2 linked regions of the Oryctolagus cuniculus genome follow. The protein of the gene in region 1 binds, or shares a complex with, the protein of each later gene. Links are inferred from orthologs where the notes say so. Each region holds a gene or a part of one and is shown on either strand. Other genes may lie near its edges.

Region 1 (3,509 bases):
CAGTGACTCAGGATCACTGTTCCTGTACAGCGACTTTGGCCTGTGACATCACAGGCCCAACCTTTCTTCCTGTTGCTTTGGAAGAGATTTAGTTATTATTTATTTGAAAGGCAGAGTGACACAGAGAGGAAAGAGATACAACTTCCATCTGCTGGTTCACTCCCCAAAATGGCTGCAACAGCCAGGTCTGGGCCAGGCTGAACTCCATCTAGTCTCCCAAATGAGTGGCAGGGTCCCAAGTACTTGGGCCGTCTTCCATTACCTTCCCAGGAACACGAGCAGGGCGTTGGATTCAAAAGCAGAAGAGCCGGGACTCAAACCAGCACTGCAATGTGGCATGCCAGCATCATGAGTGGCGGTTTAACCACCGTGCTACAGTGCTGGCCGCGAACCTTCTTCTCTAAGAATTGTCTCCTAAGGGGATGGCGCTGTGGCGCAGCAGGTAAAGCCACCGCCTGCAGTGCCGGCATCCCACATGGGCGCCGGTTCGAGTCCCAGCTGCTCCACTTCTGATCCAGCTCTCTGCTATGGTCTGGTAAAGCAGCAGAAGATGGCATAAGTCCTTGGGCCCCTGCACCCGTATGGGAGACCCAGAAGAAACTCCTGGTTCCTGGCTTCGGATTGGCACAGCTCCAGCCGTTATGGCCATTTGGGGAGTAAACCAGCAGGTGAACCTCTCTCTCTGCCTCTCTGTAACTCTGCCTCTAAATTAATAAATAAATCTTGGGGCCTGTGCTGTGGTGCAGCGGGTTAAAGCCCTGGCCTGAAGCACCGGCATCCCATATGGGCACCGGTTCTAGTCCCGGCTGCTCCACTTCCGGTCCAGCTCTCTGCTATGCCCTGGGAAAGCAGTAGAAGATGGTCCAAGTGCTTGGGTCCCTGCACCCACGTGGGAGACCTGGAAGAAGCTCCTGGCTTCGGATTGGCACAGCTCCAGTTGTTGCAGCCATCTGAGGAGTGAACCAGCGGATGGAAGACCTGTCTCTGTAACTCTGTCTTTCAAATAAATAAAATCTTTAAAAATAAATAAATAAATCTTTTTTTTTTTTTTTTGGTCAGGCAGAGTTAGACAGTGAGAGAGAGAGACAGAGAGAAAGGTCTTCCTTCCGTTGGTTCACCCCCCTAATGGCTGCTACGGCTGGTGCGCTGCACCAATCCGAAGCCAGGAGCCAGGTGCTTCCTCCTGGTCTCCCATGCGGGTGCAGGGCCCAAGCACTTGGGCCATCCTCCACTGCACTCCCGGGCCACAGCAGAGAGCTGGACTGGAAGAGGAGTAATCGGGACAGAATCCAGCGCCCCAACTGGGACTAGAACCCGGTGTGCTGGCGCCGCAGGCAGAGGATTAGCCCAGTGAGCCGCAGCGCTGACAATCTTTTTTTTTTTTTAAAGACAGTTACGAGAGAGGGAGAGACAGAGATTCATCTTCCATATGATAACTTACTCCCCAAATGGCTGCAACAGCTAGGACTTGGCCAGGCCACAGTCAGGAACTTCATCTGGGTCTCCCACACGGATGCAGGAGCCCAAATACTTGGGCCATCTTCTACTGCTTTCCCAGGACATAGCAGAGAGCCGGATCAGAAGTGGAGCAGCTGGGACACAAACTGGCACTCATATGGCATGCTGGCATTGCAGTGGTGGCTTAATCTGCTGTGCCACAGTGGCAGCCTCCAATTTTCTCTTTTTTATGATAAAAGAACATCCACACAGAGAGGACAAGCAGAGTGGGAAGAAAAAATGAAAGCTGGGATTGTCTTATGACATGGGAACCTCATGCCCAAACTCATCAGGCTCAATTTTTATTTTTATTTTATTTTACTTATTTTTATTAACTTGAGAGGTAGAGAAGAGGGAGCAGGAAGGACAGAAACTGAGAGACAGACAGACAGCGAGAACTTTGACCTGCTGGTTCACCCCAGTAACAGCCCGTAACAGCTAGGGACCAGGCTGAAACCAGGAGCCTGAAATTCCATCCAGGTCTCCCATGTGGGCGGCAGGGGCCCAGTACTTAAGTCATCACCACTGTCTCCCACGGTGGGCATTAGCAGGAAGCTGGAATCGGAAGCAGAGATGGGACAATTTCAACCAGGCACTCGGATATGGGATGCAGGTGTCCCAAGTGCACCAAATCGTCATCCCCAGGCTGCGATTCTATACTGTGTCCCCGGTCATGTCACCCGGTGGTCCCAGGCAGCACTGACAGTGGCCTTCTCCTCTGTGCTAACCGAATCACATACCTCCAAGAAGTCAAAGAGAAGAGTGGCTGTGACATCGGATAGGGGCTCCATGTTCAAGATCTGTGCCAACCAGCGCCAGCCATGATTTAGACCATGAGGGTGCGTCTGGAAGGAGAGAAGCCTGGTCATGCCTTGGTTTCATTTACTCAGAGACCTAACTCCCAATGTTATCACTCAGTTATCACCAGCGCACCTCGTTACCGTCTAACAGGGACTGTTATCACCAGGACACTGCGTTACCGTCTAACAGGGACTGTAATTACCAGCACACTGCGTTACCATGTAACAGAGACTGTTATCACCAGCACACTGTGTTACCGTGTAACAGGGACTGTTATCACCAGCACACTGTGTTACCGTGTAACAGGGACTGTTATCACCAGCACACTGCGTCACCGTGTAACAGGGACTGTTATCACTAGCACACTGCATTACGTGTAACAGGGGCTGTTATCACCAGCACACTGTGTTACCGTGTAACAGGGACTGTTATCACCAGCACACTGTGTCACCGTGTAACAGGGACTGTTATCACCAGCACACTGTGTCACCGTGTAACAGGGACTGTTATCACCAGCACACTGTGTTACCGTGTAACAGGGACTGTTATCACCAGCACACTGTGTTACCGTGTAACAGGGGCTGTTATCACCAGCACACTGTGTTACCGTGTAACAAAGACTGTTATCACCAGCACACTGTGTTACCGTGTAACAGGGACTGTTATCACCAGCACATTGTGTTACCGTGTAACAAAGACTGTTATCACCAGCACACTGTGTTACCGTGTAACAGGGACTGTTATCACCAGCACATTGTGTTACCGTGTAACAGGGACTGTTATCACCAGCACACTGTGTTACCGTGTAACAGGGACTGTTATCACCAGCACATTGTGTTACCGTGTAACAGGGACTGTTATCACCAGCACACTGTGTTACGTGTAACAGGGACTGTTATCACCAGCACACTGTGTTACCGTGTAACAGGGACTGTTATCACCAGCACACTGTGTTACGTGTAACAGGGACTGTTATCACCAGCACACTGTGTTACCGTGTAACAAAAACTGTTATCACCAGCACACTGTATTACGTGTAACAGAGACTGTTATCACCAGCACACTGAATCTCCAGGTCATCTAAACTAAGCACATGCTCAGACAGAAGTGGTATGAGCTAAATCAGTTCTGTTTTTTGTTTTTCGTTATTCATTTAAATTTACATATTTATTCTGAAAGCATTACAGAGAGGAAGAAACAGTGATCTTCCA
Region 2 (4,016 bases), on another chromosome or scaffold:
GTTGCCCCTCTTCCAGGCCAGCTCTCTGCTACGGCCCGGGAGTGCAGTGGAGGATGGCCCAAGTCCTTGGGCCCTGCACCCCATGGGAGACCAGGAGAAGCACCTGGCTCCTGCCTTCGGATCAGCGCGGTGCACCGGCCACAGCGTGCCGGCCACAGCGGCCATTGGAGGCAAAGGAAGACCTTTCTCTCTGTCTCTTTCTCACTGTCCACTCTGCCTGTCAAAAAATTTTTTTTTTCCTATAACTGAAGGACAAGAATGCTCCAAATTTAAGAGACTTGTCTAGTATACAAGTAAAATGGATGCAAACAGACCCATACCAAGCAAGACATGTATCACTTTTTGTATCTGCTGAACAAACAGGATACTCCAGACTTGGAAAGGGAAAAACAACTCACATGAGGAATCATAATTGTCTCACACATCGCAACAAATACAGAAGTCTAGAAGGCAATGGAAAAATGCCTTTAAAATCTGGCAGGAAAGTAATTTTCAACCTACAATACTATTATCCAGATGATAGGACAAAATAAGGTATCTCTATACATGCAGTTTTTCAACAAAAAAATTTCCTTCCCATACACCTCCAAAAAGCTGACCAAAGGCTGCACTAAAATAAAGGAACAAATCAAGGAAGATGAAGACAGGGATACAGAAAGAAGAGGCTCTAACCCAAGAGAAAAAAGCAATTGCCAGAACAAGGCGAAACTAAATATTCTCTGTTCCCCTTCACCTCCCAAAATGCACTGCACTCTATACACAAGGGTGACTAGTTCAGTTTGAAACAAACTAACAGCCTGGGAGAGATGTAATTGATAGAATACTTAATTGGCTGAACATTTATTTATTTGGAAGGCAGAGTTACAGAAAAGCAGAGGCAAGGAGAGACAGAGATCTTCCATCTACTGGTTCACTCCCCAAATGGCCCAACAGCTGGAACTGGGCCAATTGGAAGCCAGGAGCTTCTTCTGGATCTCCCACATGGTTGCAGGGGCCCAAACACTGGATTGGAAGTGGAGCAGCCAGGACTCAAACCGGCACCCACATGGGATGCTGGCAAACATCTTGAGATAAGCTTAGGCAACTAGGCAGAGAGATTGGAATGAACTGATAATACATACAAAATACATGAAGCACAAACACAAAGCAAATAAAAGTTCAAAGGAAACAGTTTTATAGGAAAGTAGTTTTCATGAGTTGGTAGTATAAACATGGAATACTCTAAAATCACAATATTACAATGAAAAATGGCACAAAGAAAAGTGTGCATGTGTGGTGGGGGAAGACACAGGAAGAAGTCACAAGTCAATAAATATTTAAAACTGATTACTGAGGAAGTAGCAAAACAGGCATGTTATTTAGGAAATGAAGAGTAAATATTGCGGCTGGCGCTGTGGCACAGCCTGAAGCGCCAGCATCCCATATGGGCGCCGGTTTGAAAACCGGCTGCTCCTCTTTGGATCCAGCTCTCTGCTATGGCCTGGGAAAGGGTAATTTGCCAAAGTCCCTGGGCCCCTGTACCCACGTGAGAGACCTGGAAGAAGCTCCTGGCTCTGGATCAGCACAGCTCCAGCCATTGCGGCCATCTGGGGAGTGAACCAGCGGATGGAAGACCTGTCTCTCTGTCTCTACCTCTCTTGTAACTCTTTCAAATCAAATCAAATCAATCTTTAAAAAAAAAAAAAAAAAGAGAGCCGGCGCCGTGGCTCAATAGGCTAATCCTCCACCTTGCGGCGCCGGCACACCGGGTTCTAGTCCCGGTTGGGGCGCCGGATTCTGTCCCGGTTGCCCCTCTTCCAGGCCAGCTCTCTGCTATGGCCAGGGAGTGCAGTGGAGGATGGCCCAGGTGCTTGGGCCCTGCACCCCATGGGAGACCAGGAAAAGCACCTGGATCCTGGCTCCTGCCATCGGATCAGCGCGGTGCGCCGGCTGCAGCGGCGGCCATTGGAGGGTGATCCAACGGCAAAGGAAGACCTTTCTCTCTGTCTCTCTCTCTCACTGTCCACTCTGCCTATCAAAAAAAAAAAAAAAAAAAAAAAAAAAAAAAGAGTAAATATTGTCCATCCATCTCAAGAGAAAATTAAGTTGCCTCTCAGAAGGAAAAAATTCTTAAGAACCACAGTTTTAAAACTATTTGACTATAAATTATGTACATGCATAAACTGTTTTATCAACTACAAAAAAATAAGACAAAGGCTTACAGAAGTAAGTACTAACAGAAGTAGATACAAAGCCCACCAGAACACAGTGCTGAGGTTTGAGAAATTAACGCGTAACACATATTTTGCTTACTGTGTGTCAGTCCCAGAAGAACAGAAGGAAGCTAAGAGGACCAGGGGAGGCTTTCCTGGCTGCCAGACCCCCCTACCGCAAGGCGAGCGCAAGCTGGAGCAGTCCGGCAGGCGGGCGATTTAAGGATGGGAGCGCTCACCTGCCTTCCTGAGCCGGACTGCTCAGGCTCTACCATTCTCCTCCCCAGAACCCACCCCTGCCACGACCAGTCTAGGGGCTGTTCTTTCCCAGGGATCAAGTCCCCATCCAGAACTGGTCCCTTGACCCTTTTATGGCTGAAAGCAACCCACCGACTCAGCCGCCGCTTCCTGCTCGTCTACCGCCAGAGCCCACGAGTCGGTGGCCATGGTCCCCAGCGCGGGTGGGACCCTCGATGTGGCGGATTCGCCCGCGGGCACGACGCGGCCGTGGGCTCCGGGGCGTCGCGGCGAGCCCGGTTCCGGCCCCGGCCCCGCAGAGGGGGAAGTCATTCGCTGCCAGTGCTGGGCACCGGAAACGGCGCGCCGCAGTGACGTCAGAGCCCGCGCCCCGACAGCCGCCGCTCTCCGCTCCAGGCTGCGGCTTCCGCTGCCTCGAGACCCCCGCTCTCTACCCCTCCACGGTGCATGCTTTCTTCCTGAATTGAGGGAGTCCTCTTAATATGCACCAACTCAAGTCAACCGACTTCCCAACCATCGCGGCATAGCGTGGTGGCACAGAAGACGCTCACACAGATCCCACAGACCCTAACAGAAATGTAAACAAGCTGCTGCTTGGGTTAATGGCGTCTCATTTCAGAGTGTCAAGTGCAAGTTCTGGGTCCTCCGCACTTCTCATCTAGCTTCCTGCTAGGAGTGCACCTAGGAGACAGCCCAGGCCCGGGTGCTTGGGTTCTTGCCATATTAGTGGGAGACCCAGATGGAGTTAGGGGCTCCTGGCTTCGGCCTGGCCCCGCCCTGGCTATTGCCAAGGAGTGAACAAGGTGTGAACCACCAGATGGAAGTTCTGTCTCCCCCTCTCTGTCATTCTGCATTTCAAATAAATAAAGGCTACTTTTTTAAAAACTATTTCTGCAGACAAGCAAAAAAGTAAACAACATAACAGATATCTAGGTTTCCACCACAAGGCTTAAGAAATAGATACGCATCGAGATCCTAGACTCTCTTACGTTCACCGCCAACACGTCTGTTCAACGTGAGATTCTTGAAAGAACCCGGTTCCCAAAAGGAGGGCGCCGAGAAAGGAGAGCTGGGGAATAAAGGCACCCGGATTTGAATTCAGTCTCCGGCAATTGCTCCCCAGTGGGCGCAGGCGGCCTCGGCTTCCCGCGAAACCCCGGCGTGTACCCACCTAGCTCACAATTCTGCACGGCGCCGGGCTCACCAACAGGGCTCCGTGTATAGTCGCTCCCATTATTCCTTTCCCCTCTCCTCGGGGGTGGGAGCGAGAGACGCCCAAACAGGGGCGAAAACGGCCTCGCTTCTACCCGCACAGATACTCACATCGGCCACCGGCAGGGTGAGCGGAAACCGCCCCATGGCTCGACCTCGGAAACGGCCAGTCGCCCCAGCCATCGTAGCTCAGCATGGCGGTTAGCCTCCCCAACCGCCGTTGGCAGCCCCGGTGGAGCCCGAGTCTCATTGGCAGAAGCCAGTCCCGCCAGCCAATCAGCTGAGGGGAAGGCACATACAATTCCCGGGCATGCGCACACGAGGACTTTGGGGCCAAAGACCTGTGCTGGCTTC

The links. Proteins that work in one complex are often made in the same cells at the same time.
Region 2: the proteins of GLE1 (region 1) and ATP-dependent RNA helicase DDX19B are in contact, whole or in part, in a crystal structure (PDB 6B4J), measured with the Homo sapiens proteins. The link is inferred for Oryctolagus cuniculus from reciprocal best matches to the Homo sapiens genes GLE1 and DDX19B. Residues at the interface, in NP_001003722.1 of Homo sapiens: Lys416, Lys419, Met420, Gln423, Lys424, Thr427, Ile428, Ser431, Gln432, Ile433, Ser434, Thr435, Ile436, Lys440, Gln458, Ser459, Gly460, Lys479, Lys483, Lys486, Gln487, Glu490, Glu491, Ser494, His495, Gln554, Gln562, Asn565; in NP_009173.1 of Homo sapiens: Cys325, Asn326, Tyr328, Gly329, Ala330, Ile331, Thr332, Ile333, Ala334, Glu356, Gly357, His358, Gln359, Arg378, Arg380, Glu381, Gly382, Lys383, Glu384, Lys385, Glu400, Gln401, Ser403, Phe433, Gly434, Lys435, Arg436, Asp469, Asp470, Leu471.

The regions. Positions count from the first base shown.
Region 1 is NC_091432.1:231,800,758-231,804,266, reverse strand, and holds part of GLE1 (mRNA export factor GLE1), read right to left. Parts: intron 2,343-3,509; coding exon 2,238-2,342; intron 1-2,237. UniProt on the Homo sapiens protein: Required for the export of mRNAs containing poly(A) tails from the nucleus into the cytoplasm. May be involved in the terminal step of the mRNA transport through the nuclear pore complex (NPC).
Region 2 is NC_091449.1:56,909,026-56,913,041, forward strand, and holds the start of ATP-dependent RNA helicase DDX19B, read right to left. Parts: upstream 2,804-4,016; 5' UTR 2,763-2,803; coding exon 2,583-2,762; intron 1-2,582. UniProt on the Homo sapiens protein: ATP-dependent RNA helicase involved in mRNA export from the nucleus.